4 linked regions of the Arabidopsis thaliana genome follow. The protein of the gene in region 2 interacts with the protein of the main gene of each other region in a pairwise test. Each region holds a gene or a part of one and is shown on either strand. Other genes may lie near its edges.

The links.
Region 1: the proteins of AT5G52650 (region 2) and AT4G23050 interact in a two-hybrid assay, tested with the Arabidopsis thaliana proteins (one large-scale study listed by BioGRID).
Region 3: the proteins of AT5G52650 (region 2) and AT4G32190 interact in a two-hybrid assay, tested with the Arabidopsis thaliana proteins (one large-scale study listed by BioGRID).
Region 4: the proteins of AT5G52650 (region 2) and AT1G01800 interact in a two-hybrid assay, tested with the Arabidopsis thaliana proteins (one large-scale study listed by BioGRID).

What each region holds. Positions count from the first base shown.
Region 1 is NC_003075.7:12,078,300-12,084,796, reverse strand, and holds AT4G23050 (PAS domain-containing protein tyrosine kinase family protein), read right to left. Parts: upstream 4,738-6,497; 5' UTR 4,686-4,737; coding exon 4,339-4,685; intron 4,148-4,338; coding exon 3,715-4,147; intron 3,606-3,714; coding exon 3,480-3,605; intron 3,377-3,479; coding exon 2,854-3,376; intron 2,727-2,853; coding exon 2,686-2,726; intron 2,597-2,685; coding exon 2,528-2,596; intron 2,436-2,527; coding exon 2,335-2,435; intron 2,210-2,334; coding exon 2,131-2,209; intron 2,040-2,130; coding exon 1,941-2,039; intron 1,855-1,940; coding exon 1,786-1,854; intron 1,690-1,785; coding exon 1,640-1,689; intron 1,534-1,639; coding exon 1,452-1,533; intron 1,376-1,451; coding exon 1,281-1,375; intron 1,186-1,280; coding exon 1,089-1,185; 3' UTR 541-1,088; downstream 1-540. Other genes in the region: AT4G23040 (Ubiquitin-like superfamily protein), read left to right, coding at 6,175-6,258.
Region 2 is NC_003076.8:21,355,039-21,358,925, reverse strand, and holds AT5G52650 (RNA binding Plectin/S10 domain-containing protein), read left to right. Parts: upstream 1-1,706; 5' UTR 1,707-1,922; coding exon 1,923-1,925; intron 1,926-2,039; coding exon 2,040-2,088; intron 2,089-2,286; coding exon 2,287-2,566; intron 2,567-2,660; coding exon 2,661-2,793; intron 2,794-3,070; coding exon 3,071-3,145; 3' UTR 3,146-3,385; downstream 3,386-3,887. Other genes in the region: AT5G52655 (uncharacterized protein), read right to left, coding at 701-864, 953-1,034, 1,118-1,120; HSP90.1 (heat shock-like protein), read right to left, coding at 3,779-3,887.
Region 3 is NC_003075.7:15,542,820-15,548,387, forward strand, and holds AT4G32190 (Myosin heavy chain-related protein), read left to right. Parts: upstream 1-1,980; 5' UTR 1,981-2,232; coding exon 2,233-2,295; intron 2,296-2,581; coding exon 2,582-4,870; 3' UTR 4,871-5,038; downstream 5,039-5,568. Other genes in the region: PANK2 (pantothenate kinase 2), read right to left, coding at 84-136, 256-471, 641-896. UniProt on the Arabidopsis thaliana protein: Required for the initiation of starch granules biosynthesis in leaf chloroplasts. Involved in determining starch granule number and size in chloroplasts.
Region 4 is NC_003070.9:291,476-295,598, reverse strand, and holds AT1G01800 (NAD(P)-binding Rossmann-fold superfamily protein), read right to left. Parts: upstream 2,354-4,123; 5' UTR 2,204-2,353; coding exon 2,190-2,203; intron 2,100-2,189; coding exon 1,847-2,099; coding exon of another isoform or gene 1,843-1,846; intron 1,545-1,842; coding exon 1,479-1,544; intron 1,390-1,478; coding exon 1,213-1,389; intron 1,089-1,212; coding exon 711-1,088; 3' UTR 513-710; downstream 1-512. Other genes in the region: AT1G01810 (uncharacterized protein), read right to left, coding at 1-357.

The sequences.
Region 1 (6,497 bases), on a different chromosome or scaffold from region 2:
TATATTATTTTAAATTAAATATGCTGTCACTGTATTACGGTGACGGAGTATCCCTTTACAAGATTCCGCTTGGGTAATCGACACGGTCAATCAATCAATCACACATAAATAACACAAGAGCAAACACATGGTAAAGAAATTGGCATCAAAAAAGAAAATAATATGGTAAAGATGTTTCAATTGAAATATAGTTACATATAAATTGAAATACTACGAAATACATGCAAGGCAAAACAGCGAAAACTGTTAAAAAGTTTATTTGTCTAGAGGTCACAACCATGTGTTGTAAACGAAATATTACTATGCAGCTCGATGTGATTTGTTCTGACCTAACCAGACAAACAGACAAATATTTTCAATCCCCCAAAATTTCTCCTTTTTCAATACTTCTATAAGAGAAGTTCCCTTCACCCACGTCACATGCATGCACAATACATACTCGGTATAATAGACCCATCTTTGTATCCTTTTTTTTTTAATTATGCTTTTGTGACTGCGTCAATTTCAAGATGCTGTAATGTGGAATTACGAATAAGGATTGAAAAAAAAGTTTTATTTAGGGTTCTGACTCTCTCTTATAATTAGGTGCTGAGAAGCTACAGACGACGCAGTGATGGGAAGCTGTAATAAGAGAATATTAAAGCAAAAGAAGCAATGCCTACGAATTGTCACTCCTCCTTCTCTTACCCCATCAAACCAAAACCAACTACATTACAATTCACTACAAGACACCATCAATCTCACAGTTTTTCTCGTATTTCTCTTTTTCACCCTTTTACTTCTTAAATTACATCTGAGTCCTCCTCTGGCCTCTGCGCCTCTGCCTTTTTAGATCCCATTTTACAACTTAGCTCATAAACCGACAACAGTTTATATAATGCATAGTTTAACTAAACTAACCTAAGATTCTACTGTATATTACTTTGATTTAGCTATTTTTGCTTTCTTTCTTTCAATGAAAACATAAATAGTAGTTTGGTATAACACAATGAAACATTTGTATAGTAAGTGATCAGGACGATGCTTTCGTTTTCTTTTCACGTCCTTTGCTTTGTGAACTATCCTTTAACCATGTACTGTTTACCTTCTCAATCGTCTTCTTCTTGCGCACCTGACCCTGGTTTGCGGAACAGGCTCATCATCTGACTAATTAATTCCTCGAACGACGGTCGTTTTGCTGGATCACTGTTTCAACAATTTAGAACAAAGAATATAAGAAAAATCGCCCCTAAGTTTGTAGGGTGTATTTGATGAAACAATTTACAGATGCGTCTTCTTACGTTTGCCAACAATCCTGTATTATGGATGCGATCCGGGGATTTAATCCTTCAGGTAAGTCTAATCGTCGATCCATGAAACCAACAACTCCAACAACCTAATTTAAAGTTGCTAAGATTACTACAATCTTATGATCAAGCTATAATCTCATAAGAACAGAATTTGAGAGGTACCTGAATAGAGTTCAAACGGTCCCATGGTACTAACGTAGTCATTAGCTCCCATAAGATGACTCCAAAGCTGAACACATCACACCTATTACAACGAAAGCATTGAGCTTTTAGTCCAAAAAAATGTTCAAGTTATTGAATAATGTCTTCGAAAAGAGAACAAAAAAGGGTTAATATTATATCCAACGTACTTCTCATTCGAAGGTTCACTTCTGAGAACTTCAGGAGCCATCCACTGCGGCTGCACATAGAAAAAAGTTGAACAATGTTTAGTAACAGAAATCCAAGACTGTTTTGTGGATTAAAAGAATCAGAAATGGCTTTTGTTAAACATTACAGTTCCTTTCCCGGATTTAGTACTCAAGAAGGTTGCGTTCTTCCACTTTGATAACCCAAAGTCTCCAACCTAGGGAAGAAAGAGTTGAAAGTCCATGCAATAGTAAACTCATTTTACAAGTCTTCATAAATGTAACTTGAGAAAACTGTTTGTACCTTGACATTCCAGTTCTTGTCCACGAGTAGATTGGAAGATTTCAAGTCTCTATGTACAATTGGCGGATTTCTGCGGTGTAAGTAATTCATTCCCCTAGCCTGCAACAACAACAGAGAACCCGAATATAATCAGCCTTTCATATTTTTTTCTTTCATTGTGAGGGAGGTTTTTGGAAGATCAGAGTCTTACAACATCAAGGGCCATTCTTAAACGGCGTTTCTTGTCCAATGGCTGATTCGTATTATGAAGTATTTTGAAGAGACTCCCTCTAATCATCAAAACCGTATAGAAATAACTTAGCACAGAGTATTCATCTGCAATTTCTTGCAGCATAATATAACACACTCGATAAGGAGTAACACTACTTCCAGATCCATACGTCAATAATCTCACCTTGGCATATATTCCATGATTATGGCAGATTTTTCTTCTGTACATACTGCTCCCATAAATAGTAGCACATTCGGATGTCTCAGTTTCTTCATAATGTTGATCTGAAGATATTATTGATCAAAACTGATTTATTTTGTCTGGTACGAGTAACTTCTAGAAACAATTCATAACAGAGAGAACTAATTATACATACCTCCTTTTTGCACTCCGTCAAAGTCATCGCATTGTAATCACCATCGAAGTAAACCTTAATAGCAACATCCTGGTCCAAATAGATTGGACTAGTTAGTTATCCATGTGCAACTAATACTAGAATCATCCTTATTTTATCTTAAATTACAGAAAACTCACCGATCCATTCCAAACTCCACGATGAACCGCAGCAAATGAACCTGTGAGAAAATGTAACGCATCAGAAATACTTGTAATCTGATTTAAACAGCAATGACACAGATCTGAATTGAATTTGCATATCTAAAACGTGAAAACGAGTGTAAGACTTTGGTAAATGAAATACACCTCTTCCGACCTCCTCCCCAAGTTGTAGATCTTCCCATCGTATCTCACATGACGAATCAGTAACTAATCTATTATTCCTTTGGTTGACAGGACTTTGTTGCCTACCGCTGTTGACTCCTAGAATTGGCAAGGGATCAACACTAAGACGAGTATTCCAAGCATCTTCTATCTCACCATTTAGGTCCGACATTTTTGTTCCCCGCATGCCAGACACCAAACCACTCTCTAGTCCTCTGGGAGGTTTACTTTGTCCCAGGTTCCCAATATACTGAAAGCGATCTCCATTATGTATCAAACCCTCAGCTCCATTTCCATAGACATCTGAAATTCTAACTTCAGCCCTTTTTGGTTTTCCATTGCCATTGTCTCTGAAAGCCGTGCAGGTAACTGCATTAGAAGCCTTAGAACTACCTCCACTGCCACATGCTGACTTATTGATACCGTTTCTTAAGATAGGCTCATTATCTTCGGTTCCTTGGCTGCCAGTAATCTTCCTTTGCAGCTTCCCCAAAAACTTATCCGCCTACACTAGTGTATATGCAGATTTAGCTTATAACATGAGACAATAATCGTTCTAAGAAATGTCAATGAGAAGTGTCTTGTTTAAGGAGCCAACGAAGACTTACCAGTGAGCCATACTTCTCGAAAGTTGTGGAGGCAACAACCGGAACATTTTCATCTCGGCTCCTCGAATTATGATTTCCATTGAAGGAATCATCTCCATTTCTCTGTGGTAGAAGCTTCGACGCCTTCTTGGTTTGTGCAGAAAACAGCAAAACAAACAATCATTCATGTTGCACACGAATTATTATATAAAAAAAAGTACTGAGAAACTTCGAACATTCATGATGTGAGATCTACCAGGTTTGAAGCAACAGCTGATGAATATTGTGGGACAACTGGAACCTGTGATGCTGCAGCGATCTGAGGCCTCGGGAGGTGCCACTGATGTTTTCTCAAGTTTGATTCATGTCTATTATTACTACGAGCTTGTTGTTGATGCTCATTACTTAGTGGATGCATCCTATTGAAAAGGGTTGCATCGCTCGAGACAGTAACAACACCAACCAGCTCACCGTTTTCATACACAGGGCTTTTAGTCACCAAAGCCATAAATAGTTCACCAGTTTTCTTCTGAAACGGAAACTGACCAGTCCAAGTCTCTCCACGGCACACCCTATTCCTGATACCAGTAAGGGAATTACGGTATTCTTCGGTTACAAGCACATCAATAGTTCTGTAGCCAACAACTTCCTCAGCATACCAATGGTACAGATTCTCAGCAGAACGACTCCTGAATAATAATAAAAGAATCTCTCCACTCAGAAACAAATAGTAAATGTCCACTTGCATATACAATGAATCGCTATATATAACTTTGTTTAACTACTTAAACACACAATTCAATGAAACAGTACTTAGAAGAACTATAAGCTCCTGATCTACAAACACCATAGATGAAGAAGAAGAACTTATCAAGCTCACCAGAATGTAATTTCTCCAGACGCAGCTGATGTTACATGAATCGCGTGTCCCATTGAATCCATCAAAGTCCGATACGCACTATCAGCGAAATAGAATCCTGAAACAGCTCTCTCCCAAGTCGCCGTCGGATTATCCCAGGAATCCGCCGCCTCCGCTTCCACCTCTACCTCAGCCTCTTTCTCCGTGTCCGTCTCCAATCCCGTCGCCGATTCCTTACCGGTTCGACTCTCCTCCTGAAGCAATAAGTCATCAACATCCTCCCTTAGTCTCGCTTGACTCGTCTCCATCCTCTGACACCACTCCACCAAAACCTGGTAGAGACTCGATTCCGAGTTGTTTCCGGCCATCGTAATCGCCGGTGACTCTGTTTGAGCAGTCGCATCAAGATCCGACTCTGATGAAAATTCACAAATTAAAAATATAATTTAAAACGTTGGCATTCCCTCATTGTTTATTATTTTTCAGCTGCTTCTTAAATCACTCGTGACGCCATAATTAACAAACCCCAGCTATTATAAACACTACGACGCATTAGCTTACGCCACGTGTGTTTGTTACTAATAGGATGCTGCCACTTGTAGAATTGCCGATGTAATTGAAGGTTGAAGAAGATTGAGAGATAATAGACGAATTTGTCACGATTTAAAAGTGGTGATTGACGAAATTAACCTCAATATAATACCCATTCTTGTTGCCGCCATTGCCAAATGGGCCTGAGTTTGATGGTGTTTTTATACCTCCAACGGTATTTGTCAAGAAGAAAATAAAATACACGTCTCTTCAATGTTCACATTCACATTCCTCTAAAAGTAATGTGCCCAATAAACTCAAAGTTCAAGTTGATTGAAGAACAATAACAATAAATTATAGTTGAATTTAAATGTAATCAATTATTAGTAGTATACTTCAAATCATTGTAGAATAATACTCTCCATAAGGTTTCTTAGAGGAAGCAAAGTTTAATTGGAGTCACAAAGCTAGTTTTGTTTCAATTTATCTAAAGATTTACTTTGTTTCTGGGACACAAACTGAAAGCCAACCCTTTTTTTTGGACAAAAACGACAATTCTTATATTACAAACGGCCGAAAGAGAACATGACAGCTCCTTTAAAGGCACTATATAGAGGGAAGATTGGGATGATCATAAAGTGAGGATATCTTTGGATATTTTAGTTTTGGGTTTGGTTTTGGTTTTTCGTTGTTGGACCGAAAAGCCTTTACATTTTAAGGCTTATTTCCATATTTACTGTCAAATTGACAAATAAAATATGTAATTGGTGTGAAAAAAAATAAATTATGTAACTTTTTTTTTGTACATTAAAAATTATCTAACTTTTAATGTATATACACTATAACAATTAATATCATGTTAAAAAAAAAGGTCAAAAAGTTCTTGGCTAGTAAAAACTAAAAAGATAAGTTTAATCCACTCTGAATTTGACTCGAATTCCAGTTTATAAAATATAAAGACTCTGAAAAAAAAAATCCAATTTCAACTGAATAATTATTTATTTAGTTATTCAGATTAGGACACTCCATATATTATCTCAAGTTCTCTGAAAATAATATCTTGAATATCACCGAAAATATACAAAAAGAATAAAGAAAATAAAGTTTAAGAAAATCCACACCAAATAAAAAAGGAGAATTAAAAAAAATGGAAAAGAAGAAAGACCCTAAAAAAGGCTTTAAAAATCTTAAGAGTCACCGATCCAATTCCTTTCTTCACTGCAATTTTTGTGATTTACAACATATATTAATTCTTGCCTCCTCCTTCACTCCAGCTCCAAACACAAATCTCCGACGAAAAACTTCTCTCAAGCTTTCTCTTTTCTAATGGCGACACCTACTCAGGAAGCTATTGACACCTTCATGACCATCACCGGCTCTTCCAATGCCGTCGCCGTTCGTAAGCTCGAGGTGATTCAATTACACTTCCCTGGGTTTTTTCCGTCTTCCTTCTATTGTTTAGATGTTATTTTGTTTTTGATTGAAGTATTTTTGGAAGTTTCTCGAATCGCTCAAGTGGTTGTTCGTTGGATCATCGAATTATATCTCCTCTACGCTTTTGTTATATCGTTGTTAAGCTCATCTTGATGCGTTTAGGTCGCAATTGGAGTTAATTGTGTTGAATTTTAGTTTATCCGATTATCTGATTG
Region 2 (3,887 bases):
ATTTTTTTTATAGAATATGAAAACATAAATAAACATCATTACTTGCCTCAGAAAAATAAAAGTAAAAAATAAAAATAAACATCATTATTAGAGATCATAAAAAAAATAATTTGCAGGGTATTCAGTGTGATCAATGATTTCGACAGATTTCAAGATCAATAATTTGTAGTTGGCTTCATTTGTTTGTAAACACATTTTGGAGGTGGTGATAAAACACATTCTTAGTGATGAAATAGATAAATACATTTCTAAATAGATGTAAATCAAATGATGGTTTGACTGGTTTGCATATAAAACATTTTCTAGAAGAAGTTATTAATCATATTTTAAACAAGAATTGTAATCATATACCATTCCCTCTCTCAAATTTGTTTTGAGCTTTTGTTAAAGTATGTATCTGTCTCTTTGATGGGAGACCAAATCAAATCTCATAATAGCGTTGTATGCTTTCGTTTTAATTCGTTTATAGAGGAAGAAATAAGGTGACAGTGTAGACCAATATGGTTAAGCTATTTTTAGTGGCATACTCTCGACTATGCATCCAAGGAAAATCAATCTTCTTGAACAAAAAGTTTATAACTTACAACTTATAAGAATGGACTAATATATCTTAAGACTTACACCAAATCCAATTACTTTGATAGAATATGAAAACATAAATGAACATCATTATTTGCCCAAAGAAAAATAAACATCATTATTAGAAATCATAGAAAAAATAATCCGGAGGGTATTTGGTGTGATCAATGATTTCGACAGATTTTAAAACCTTTTTTATTTTCTCCAGTAACTTATCTTGATCAATATTTTCTCCCTTCACTGCAAATACGTCGTCCATGATACCACAACTTATGACATCAACTCCTAATATAATAATAAAAAGATGACAATCATTCACATTGTTCAAAATTCGTTTGTTGAATATAATTGTTGGGTGTGTGTAGGTTTGTACCTGGAAAACCACCTGCAATTTTGAATCCTTTTCGCCATTTTTTTTCGGGATATCCTGGATGCTTGAATACAATCGTCATCGACTACAAACAATGAAATAAAACTAAAGCTTTAGTGAATTTATTATATAACCACATAAATAGGTTTACTAAGAAAAATAACTAACCATTTTTTGAAAAACTCAAAAGTTTGGAAGGAGAAGAGAAGATGATGGACAAGAATGTGATTACAAACTCGCTTGCTCATCAACCTCTATATATATTACTGAAAATTGATTTTTTTTGTTAAATAATCTATAAAAGTACATTTATCTCTCAATTTCACAATCTCTTTCGACATATGTCACAATTTCTCATAACAAATTTTTGACACAAAAATAGATTTATCTTCTTTTTTTTTTTGTTGAAACAACACAAAAATACATTTATCTCTCAAAGATTTTTTTGTTACAATATGGAGCAAATAAATTAATTAAACTGGAAATTATTTTAACAAGATAATATATGTAATTAATAAAAATATATGTTAATTTATAGAATTAACTAATCTGATAAAAATATATAAAGTAATCAAAGTTATAGTAAAAAAAAAAAAAAAATCAAAGTTATAGTAAATAATATTTAAACGTATGTCACAAAATTTACAAGATATAAACTTTTCAAAAAAGAGAGGATAAACCATCGTAAATATAAATACAACGAGTGTAAGTATTGGTTAATAAAATATTAAATATAGTTATCATCAAATAATTTGATAAACCCCCAATTCTTAATTCAATTCGACAAGATCATTTTGAGTTTCTCAGTCTCCGATACTGCCCAAACTTAAGGCCCATATTTAATGAACTCATTATAGGCCCAAAACAAAGCATATAAAGTCATCGTCTTCTCTAGTCCTGCGAAAACCCTAGTTTTTTGCTCTCTCGAAGTTCCGTGCGACTCTCTGCTCGAGCAAGATCTCCTACCGATACAATGGTAACACACAAGCTCTGCTTTTGATCTATTTCTCTATTCTCATCATATTCTCCGGTGTCTCAGAATGTTGTTTCGTTGAATTTTGACCATTTTCTTCTTCCTTCTTGCTCTCAGATTATCTCAGAGGCTAACCGCAAAGAAATCTGCAAGTACCTCTTCAAAGGTTCGTTCTTCTTAAATTTGTTCTTAGATCTCTGTTTTCTTCAGCTTCTGTGAGTAAATTGATTCATTTTTAGGCTTATGCCGATGAACATTGTGATTTTTGAACTAGTTTAGGTTAACTAGTTATGGTAGCAATTATGATGTTTGGCTTAGAAGGTGAACATTGTGTTGATTATCATATGTTCTATGATTTTTGCAGAAGGAGTTTGCTTTGCGAAGAAGGATTTCAATCTTGCTAAGCATCCGTTGATCGATGTCCCCAACCTACAAGTGATTAAGCTTATGCAGAGTTTCAAATCCAAGGAGTATGTTAGGGAGACATTTGCCTGGATGCATTACTATTGGTTTTTGACCAATGAAGGGATCGAGTTCTTGAGAACTTATCTTAATCTTCCATCTGATGTTGTTCCTGCTACTTTGAAGAAGTCAGCTAAGCCTGGTGGTCGTCCATTTGGTGGCCCACCTGGTGATCGCTCAAGGTGATTAACTCTTTGCTTAACCCATTTCATGTCTGGCAAAAACTTTTTTTTTTTTTAATTTGTTTGACATGGTTTGGGTTTCTTTGTATTTCAGAGGACCTCGCCATGAAGGAGGAGACCGTCCCAGGTTTGGTGACCGTGATGGGTACCGTGCAGGTCCTCGAGCTGGTGGTGAGTTTGGAGGTGAAAAGGGTGGAGCTCCCGCAGATTACCAGCCATCTTTCCAAGTAAATTCTCACTGACCATACCTTCTATTTACTTCTCTATCTCACCAACGTCATATAATGTGCTACTCTTGAAGTCTTTATCATAGAGCTCCTGAACCTGAGAAACCATGAACATATTTAGTCTCTCTTTATCACTTTAGTTACAAGGAACATAAATCTTTTACTTTAGCTGTGAAGTGTTTCAAAGTCTATAGTTATATAATTGCCTTGTGATTTGATTTACCCGCCTTCTCTTTGTTTGGTTGCCATTGTTCTAACATCCTTTCTTGTTTATCAGGGAAGTGGCCGTGGTTTTGGCCGTGGTGCTGGTGGCTACAGCGCAGCTGCACCATCTGGTTCAGGTTTGCCTTGAAAAAGAAATGTCTTTAGGTGACAGTAAGACCATGGAGGAGTTTTCAGCTTTAAATTTTGCTTTTGTAATTCAGATTCCGGAATCCTTCATAATCTCTATCTGAGTTTAGTTTTGTTGTTGAATCAAACATCCGATTTAAAGTTATGTTCATTCCATCTTCTCTCCCCTTTTCGAGCATGCGAGAATATGATTCCCCCTATTGAACAAATCAATCAACCTTTAAGCGATAACAAATTGGTGTTGTGAAAATTATTAACTTCTTGATCTCGTTTTGTCAGATCTAAAATTACTATAGCCAAGCTACCTTTCACGTCAAGTTGTCACTCCTATCTATTCCAGTGATCTTAGGAAGTCTATCTTTTGGAAGTCAAGTTTTACTCTAGGGAACCAAAAGATTTGTTCAGAAACAAGAAAAGTTCCTTAGCTGAATAACAAAAACTTGAATCAGTATTAGACAGACCCACCACACGATATAACAGACCTGACACAAACCCAACCCTAGAAGTAGTCACAATGTTCAAGTAACTCTAAAGATATAAAAAAAAAGACAAAGACATTTTGGAAAATCTTAAAACTCAGAACAACTCGACATATTAGAAGTTTTCAGAACCATAAGAGCAATTTCTTCATCTCTTAGTCGACTTCCTCCATCTTGCTCTCTTCAGCAGCGTCCTCCTCCAACTCAGGCATATCACCATCTTCCTCAACGTTCTCATCCTCATCAATACTCAGACCCAACTTC
Region 3 (5,568 bases), on a different chromosome or scaffold from region 2:
TGAAAGAGCGAGCTAAATATATGCAGAAGGAGCCTCAAAAGGTGATAAAGATAAAAACAATCAAGTCATAAAAATGCGATTACCTTGATAACACCAGTCCCCAAAGGCAAGGTCTTTGAACTCCAAGGATAAGGATCTATTCATTTAGTTGAAAAGAAATGGAGAAGAAGACGAATTGAAGAGTAAATCACCAGAAATTGATCTTATAATACAAAACAACATTTCATACACTGAAAAGGATAAAAGTAATAATACCTCGGCGATGAAGCTGCTTGGAATGAATAAAATCCAAGCACTCATTAATTTTGTGAGTCTCAAACTTGACAAAATGAAGTCTACCACCAAGAACAGGATAACTTCTCAAGTTGCCATTGGTAATACCCAATCTCTCCTTGATCGTCCTCTTCCGCTTATCATCATCATTAGAGTAGTCCTCATGTCGTGAAAAATACAACAACTTTATCAAAGAACCTGCAAATAAACTTAAAAGGGTTCATAATTCTCAAACATAGCACTTAAGAAATAAACATCGAAATTGCCAAAACCAAGAAGTGACACCAAATACTACTGGAAGAACCACAAGCACTAGATCAATGGTCAACTACAGTGAAAATAAAAAAGAAGTGAAATTTGTTGTCACCTCCGATATCAAGAGCCAAATGAGAGATATCATCAGACTGATTAGGCAATAAAATGGTGGGATCTCTCTCCTCGAGGTTCCCCTGAATTTCGGCTTTGCTTAGATCAAGCTGAGGTCTAGAGCCTGATCTGTGGATCGGAGTACCAGAAGTAGAAGGAGCCATATTTTTATCAGCAGCAACAGAAACCTGAGATTTTGCTTCAGCTTCTCTTTTATTGTCAAGAATTGGATCATACTCATCCTCTTGACCCGCCATTTTTTTTTTTTATTAAAAAATAAAAAAGGAACCCAACCAAACCCAGAAAAATCGGATCACCAACAATTGCCTAATTCTCCCAAACCACCACAAAACCCTTCCTTGCAAAGTTTAAAAAGTCAAACGACACGAACTGATGATGATAAGACTTTCCAGGGTAAAGAAGTAAACTGTTCGAGCTTTTGCTAATACGATTATACGACTAAGCTTAGAATCGCTTAAGCAGGCTGAAGCGGACCTAACTCCAAACAAAATTTGTATTTATATATAATTGTTTGTTAACTAATTAACTACCACATAAATTTCCCAAAAAAAAAAAAAAACTACCACACAAATTTGTAGTTTTTAATGAATTTGTAAGTGGATTAGGTTTGGTGTTTCACAATAATGACCAAACTCGAACTCCACTTGCCACTTATGAGTTTTTCCAAGTCATAGATGAGGATTACTGTGTTGGTTTCGATATCTTAATTAATCCGTCACACTTAATTCTTTATGTTTTACGATTTTTTGAAGTTTAAGATTTTGCTAACATTACACTATTCACGATAAATCACTTTTTCAGATTTAAGATATTTTTCGCCGGAATTTAGAAGGTAGGATATCCTTTAAAATGCTTTTGTGAAGATGGATTATATTATACAATTGGACTATTTGGTGTAGATAAAATCTTATGTGGGAAACAAATATTTTAGGAACACTAAACCAAAAATACCATTGTTACATTTTTTAATGATAAAAAAGTTCACTTGCAAATGTAACAAGATACAACCTCGTTGGGTTGATATGTTAAGAAAACTAGCTGATGGATTGGTTTTTCATTGGGTCTATTGGGCCAATGTCATGGGCCTGATGACTTTTATTCAGTTTCTTAAATTTATATTCCAGTTTAATATAACATACTCTTTAGTGTGTAAGCATTTCTAACCACGCGACTAGCCGACTACGCGAAAGAAAGAGAATTGTCATACTAGAAAACCGTTACCACGTACGTAATTAAGAAGAGTCCATTATTTTTACAAATAGATCCCTTGGCCGTGTATTTGGACAATGCCGACATGCATCTTATGAATAAGGGCAAAAAGGACTTTCGAGTTTACTGGCGACCACAACTCGCAAGCCAACGCGAGCCTCTATTTATTATTTTGTATCCTTTTTTTTGGTAAAAGAATTTTGTAACAATATCCATTCCCTAGCTAGATTCTTCTTCTTCTTCCTTGGATTTGTTCTCGTAAGCATTCTTCTCCAAAACGCCCACTTGTTAAATTTGATCCAGTGGATTTGGGTTTTGTTCCGTCTTTAAGCTCCATGGCGATTGCATAATTATGCTCTCAGGATGGGTTTCTCTCAGGCCATTCGCTTGAATCTTGCTTCCTTCTCCTCTCCCTCTCCCTGCGATGTTTGTTTCCTTACCTTTCTCTATATTATCCCCTATATTTTCATTTATATATCGCTGCTGATTCACAACACTTTACTTACTCTTAACTTTATCAAACTTGAATTTTTGACTTTTGCTGGCCTTGTTCTGATTGTTCCTTGTTCTGGCTTAAAAAGATTGCAAATTTCAATACTGTTCCTTTAATTTGAATAAGTTTGCTTGCATCCATATTGATTAGTGTCTGTCCAAAATAATCAAACTTTTGATTTTGATTTTGATGTCGGCCATATGATTTTTTCTTATGCAGTATTGTTTGACAAGAGTAGTAAACCATAAGCAGAAGAGTCTTGTCGCATTCCCGAGCATTACAAGGAGAAAGAGACATCTTTTACTGAGTGTTCAATCAGTCTTGCACAATACAAGACCCAACATCAACGACAATGGCTCAGCTGAGTCTGCAAATGTTCTTTTCGATAAATTATTTGCTCGGACACACAGATTGGAGAGACAAACCAATCAACACTCGGTTTATCCTGACGATGATGATCTCCCCTATTCAAACCTTGGCGTGCTTGAGTCTGACCTTGAGGCTGCGCTAGTGGCCTTGTTGAAAAGGGAAGAGGACCTGCACGATGCTGAGAGGAAGCTTCTCTCTGACAAAAATAAACTTAACCGGGCAAAGGAGGAGTTAGAAAAACGTGAGAAAACAATCTCTGAAGCTTCGTTGAAGCATGAGAGTCTACAAGAGGAGCTGAAGCGGGCAAATGTGGAGTTAGCTTCTCAAGCCAGGGAGATAGAAGAGTTAAAGCATAAGCTAAGGGAAAGAGACGAGGAACGTGCTGCTTTGCAATCGTCCTTGACTTTGAAAGAGGAAGAGCTAGAGAAGATGCGTCAAGAGATTGCAAACAGAAGCAAGGAGGTTTCTATGGCTATTTCTGAATTTGAAAGCAAGTCACAACTCTTAAGCAAAGCCAACGAAGTTGTCAAGAGACAAGAAGGTGAAATATATGCACTTCAGAGAGCTCTTGAGGAGAAGGAAGAAGAATTAGAGATTTCTAAGGCTACGAAGAAACTTGAACAAGAAAAGCTTAGAGAAACAGAAGCCAACTTGAAGAAACAGACAGAAGAGTGGCTGATAGCCCAGGATGAAGTGAATAAGCTTAAAGAGGAAACCGTGAAACGTTTAGGAGAAGCCAATGAAACCATGGAGGACTTCATGAAAGTGAAAAAGCTTCTGACTGATGTAAGATTCGAGCTTATTTCTTCTCGGGAAGCTTTGGTATTTTCCAGGGAGCAAATGGAAGAAAAAGAGCTACTATTGGAAAAACAATTGGAGGAACTCGAGGAACAGAGGAAAAGTGTGTTGTCATATATGCAAAGCTTGAGGGATGCGCACACTGAAGTTGAAAGTGAGAGAGTAAAGCTCAGAGTTGTTGAGGCTAAAAATTTTGCGCTTGAGCGGGAAATATCGGTCCAAAAAGAATTGCTGGAGGATTTACGAGAGGAGTTGCAGAAAGAGAAACCATTGTTGGAGCTAGCTATGCATGATATATCCGTTATTCAAGATGAGCTTTACAAAAAAGCTAATGCGTTTCAGGTATCACAAAATCTACTTCAGGAGAAAGAGTCAAGTTTGGTGGAGGCCAAACTAGAGATTCAGCATCTGAAGTCCGAACAGGCTTCTCTAGAACTATTACTGCAAGAAAAGGATGAAGAACTCGCTGAAGCTCGAAATAAATTGGGAGAAGTGAACCAGGAGGTAACAGAGCTAAAGGCACTTATGATCAGTAGAGAAGATCAGCTTATGGAGGCAACTGAGATGCTGAAGGAGAAAGATGTCCACCTTCACAGAATAGAAGGTGAGTTGGGCAGTTCCAAGCTGAAAGTCACTGAAGCTGAAATGGTGGTGGAAAGAATTGCAGAATTGACGAACAGACTGCTTATGTCAACCACCAACGGTCAAAATCAGAATGCAATGAGGATTAACAATGAGATAAGCATTGACTCAATGCAGCAACCACTAGAGAAACCTCATGATGATTACGGAATGGAGAACAAACGGCTGGTGATGGAGTTAAGCTTCACCAGAGAAAATCTACGGATGAAAGAAATGGAAGTTCTAGCGGTGCAGAGGGCTTTGACATTTAAAGACGAAGAGATCAACGTGGTCATGGGAAGATTAGAAGCCAAGGAGCAGGAACTCAAGAAATTGAAAGAAGAAACGATCAATGACAGTGAAGATTTGAAAGTGCTATATGCCTTGGCACAAGAGAGAGTCGGGGAAAAAACAATGGGTGATCTGGCCATAGAGATGCTTCAGCTTGAGGCAGCTAACCTTGAAGTTGAAGCTGCGACCAGTGCATTACAGAAGCTTGCAAAAATGAGCACGGAACTGTTAACTCAAGCTGACATGAGCATTGAGGCCGACACAACTCACACTGTAATGCCAGAGAGAGGGTATTCAGAAGGAAGTAATGAGTGTCTTGGTGAGGTAAAAACAGAAGTTGTCAGGCTCTGGTCCTTGACAGAGAAACTCCTGGAGAACGCAGGAATCGTTGCTGGTACATCTACATGCATGGAAGGTGTAATTTTATAAAGCTTTGATTAACTTTATAAGCCTAATCTGTATGATTCTTTTGTGGATATGTAGAATTACTGGCGGTTAAATATGTTTACTTGTCACTGTGAGCAAGTCTATTGGAGAGTCTTAATCAAGAACTCTTTGCATTTTATAATAATAAATATTAAATAATTTAAAGTTTAGAGTTTTTATTGAATCTTTACAATTTTTTATTGTCCAATGGTGGTGGAGACTTTAAGAGGATTTCTTCAAAAAAAATAAAGATTTTAAAATAAAATATTATAAAGTTTTTTATTTGACAAAACTTAATAATTATTAGAAATAATAAAATTGTAAACATGCATCATGACATAAAAGCAAAAAAATATATAGAAATGAAAATTTGAAAAAGGATAATATTTAAGCTTGATTCGGACCAAAATTTTGCCATATATATACTCTGATACTCAATCAAATCATATTTCAATCGTTCATGCTAAGTACAAAAGTCGGGTTTTGATACTTAATAATTACTACAAATATTAAAATTGTATACATACATCATGATATAAAAGCAAAAAGAAAATATACAAATCAAAAAACTTAAATAACGACTAGATTTAAGCATTATTAAAACAATGCATAATCCTTTTTTTATATAGTTTTTTCTCAGCCAGTCACAAAGCAACACAACTAAAGTCTTTAACAAATGTTAAAACTCTAAGCTTAGGATC
Region 4 (4,123 bases), on a different chromosome or scaffold from region 2:
CGGCAATGATAGTTTAAAGGATTTGTCGAAGTATGAAAACCATCTTCGCAATTCTGCATCCGTTTCCGGCTTTGTTCCGATCACTAGCTTCGTATTGTTGTTACTATCCTTCTTCTTCTTCTTCTTCTTGTCCCTCTTCCTGGTTTCTCGCCTACGGTGAGATTTCTCCTTCCTTTGCTTCATCTCACGACTCGCGGCGGATAACGCCACAGACAACGACGATAGATTGATTGAAGTATCCTTTGCAGCATCTATGGCCTCGATCGCTTGCTTGAGAGAGCTGAAATTGAACGGAGAACCACCGTCATTGGTCCGCCGTCTTGTTGTGGCGGTGCTTCTCTTAGTTTCCGGCTTCATTATGATCAATTACAAATTACGGCTACACTTTTTTTCTTTTCCGAGACTTAGGGCATTTATATAGTCTCACAGACTCACTTAAAATGGGCCTTCTAGCAGCCCAATAACAATTTTGCGTCACGAGAACGCGCACAGGCAAACTATCTGAACCTAGGTGGGGAAACACGCCGATAGGATTCAAGAGGAAAAATACATTATTTTGGGAATACAAAACCACATAAATATTGAAGAAGCTTTATAATATAACCAAGTTTGGTTGATATATAGTTTGGAGTTCACTTTATTTTCTGCTAAATTGATGAGATAATAAAATATACAAACCAACACCCAACCGAACACATAAGATTGAAGAATCAAAAGTTGGAGACATTGGCGCGATCAAAGAAAAGACCAGATGGGTCTCCATTAGGGACCAAAGCCAGTTTCACTGGACTCGCTGCACCTTCTTCAACGCTCAAGATCCCAGTGTTGAAATTGATTTCTGTGTTTACGAAACCAGGACAAACACTGTTGATGATGAACGATTTGTGTCGCTTAGCCAATACTCGTGTCAATGCGATCACTGCAGCTTTCGATAGTATGTATCCAGACATCACTGTTGGCCAACCTTTGACTTGTAATGCACCTTCTTTGTAATCCTTGAGGTACTCATTGATCACTTCATCTATTTTCTCTTCTGTTAGGTTCTCAGCATCACTCAGCACTCCTTTTGCCCATTCATTTGAAACATTCTGCACACAAACAAGATTCATCCTTTACCCAACACCAAAATACGAGAATTAACCAGCCAAAGAGTCAATTTCATAAACGATCCCTTCCTTTAAGTTTATTGACTAGAAGAAATCAAGATGGTACCTCTAACTTTCCCATGGTGGAAGCGATGCTGACGATTCTTGGGGAATCAGAAGATTGAAGGAGAGGAATCATGGCCTCGCACATTCGCTTAACGCCGTAGTAGTTTGTTTTAACACACTCCTCGACTATCTCATATGTATCACTCATTATCTTGGAAATATCAGTTGGCGCACCAGCCTGCACTAGTAGTCATTTATATGTAAGACCACCTCTCAAGCTTGTGCAGTATATATTTCAAAAAGGTAAGAGAAAGTAGGAAAGTGTACCTCAGCAATCTGAGCTTTGAGAACATCAACATTAACATTCGCCCCTCCAACTCCGGCATTATTAACCTGAAGACATATATACCAAACAAGAAATCAGAAAAGAGTAGACAGAACAGAATTGCTATTTTCAGATAATGCTCGCTTAAGAGTTATATCCTTTCTAGTTAACATGTATGTATCCTAGTCGCAACAGACAAGAAGTTGTTGAAGAAGTATCTCAATCCCTAAAAAGGATCAGATCTTAGTTAAGAAATGTGATCATGGAAAGGGAAGTGCAGCTACCTAATAAGATCCGACAGTGAAACTGATTAAAGCCACGATTAGTAGATCTAGATTGATGATAATAGGAAAAGAAAAGAGAAACTTGCCAGAATATCGAGTTTGCCGAAGCGGGTCTTGACAAAAGCAGCAAGAGAAGCGATGGTGTCTGGGTTGGAGACATCAAGAGGGTGAAAGGAGATGGCTTGATCAGAAAAACCATTCTCAGTCTTGAGCTTTTGGACAGCAGCAAGACCCTTGTTTTCATCTCTCGCAGTTAAAACCACAGTTATCCCATTGTTAGCTAGTTGCCTGCAAATCTCAAACCCAATCCCTTTGTTGGAACCAGTAACAACTGCAACTCTGGAGACAAACAGGAAAAAGAAAAAGGAACAATCAAAATCTGAAAAAGATTTCAAGCCGAGGTTAGACAGAGAGAGAAGAAGCATGAACCTTGGGTCTGCCATTGAATTGTTGAAAGGACAGAGAAAAGTCAAGCCTCATGCTGTTAACTAAAAAAGTATATACAAAAAAATAGGGATAAACAAGTGTGTGCACATGGAAGATTAGACACCGCTATATTTCTTATATTTTTTGATAAGACCAATATTTCCAAATTAGCATCAAAGGAGAATGGATCATCATTATAGTATATATTAAAAAAAGTGAAAGGAGTTTTTTCAGTGTCATACTATATTTATTTAGTCACAGACTAAACGTTTTAACAAGAAGAAGCGTGACACTTGCTTAATTAATGCAACTTATTTAATTATCAGTCTCGTTTTAGCCTTTAGCATTGATAGCCCTAAGAAAATGCTATCAGTGTGGAGGGTCCAAAGCTATTGGGCTTAAGCCCACAAATCAACACGAATTGATGCATTCTTCTTTTTAGGCTTTCCGCTTGGATCGATTCCCAAGGGAATATGTGAAAACATAACAAACCGAAAAATGTAGGAAAAAAGCAGCATACATATTTGCTACTCAAACTCAACTAATTTGTATGCGCATCTAGAAACACTTTTCAACACAAAATATAATATTAATAAGAAATATCCAGCAAACATTCGTTTCTAAAACATAGTATAGAATTAATTTGAGTTCATAACATATAATTCTCATAGAATAGAAAGAAGTGCATAACATATAATTCTCATATAATAAAAAGGAGTAATTATAATCATCAAAATCTTCGGAAGTAGACCAAATCACATGTCTTCTTCAGGCTCTGCAACATCATTTTGTCCTAAATGAAACCAGAAGAGTAGACAAACAATACACTCGCACACGGAGAACCCAACCATAGCTAGAATTGGCACTATTGGATAGAGCACAATAAAAGCCCTAAATTAGACAGCAGAGGAAAATTTAACGTTAGCAGAGACGGTACGGACTGAGAGTCTCCGGTGAAAGTTTGCATAGTCGACATCGTTGAAAGGGAATTCAGACTGAGATTCGTCGTTGGTGAGTGAGACGACAGTGGAGAGAGATTAGACAGCAGAGGGAGATTTGACGTTAGCATGGATGGTGTAAGTGTGCAAGAGCTAGAGAATCCCGAGGTATAGTGAGAGATTTTGCATAGTCGACGAAGGCGTTGAAAGAGAATTCAGACTGAGATTTGTCGTTGGTGGCTGAAACGACGGTGGAGGGAGATTTGACGTTAGCAGGGACGATAAGGATTGAGAGCCTCTGGTGGAATTTTGCATAGTCGACGGAGGCGTTGAAAGAGAATCCATGACTGCTATGTTTTGTTTTTTTTTCTGCGAATAAACGAACAAATACTGTACAAAAACCAAACCCTTTCTCTCTTCAAAAACCCTCATGCTTCTCTCTTAAAGAAACTTAGTCGCCGCTGATTGTGTTATCGGTTCTGGTGGCTCTTTTAACACCAAAATCGGAATTTTTTAGTTTTTTCGAGCTGTATTTTCGTTTGCCTTCGTTTATGCTACATATAGTTTTTTTCTTAACATATATGTCAGTACAATGTAATAATTTTTTTTTTTAGTTTTCTCGTAACATGTACCCTACTACTTTTTTTTTCCAACAGTTTATCATATACTAACTCTTTATGTAAACTCGCATGTTAATCATAAAAAAAACATTAGTTAAATATTTGACCTCAAATATAATAATGACATGCACAGTACATTGGATATATGTTTGGATGTTTTTATAATGTTGAGGTACTTGTGGTTTCGGCAAATGTGATTTGGTGGTCCCTTTTTGGTCAGCGTTATTCTTGTTAAAAATCTCTCTTTTGGCCCTTTCCTTTGTTAAAAATCTCTCTTTTGACCTAAATAACGTTTCAAATATATCAATATATATTATTAACAAAAAAAAAAACAGTTGCTCTGATGAAGCTACAAATAGAAATGGCCAAAAGAGAGCAA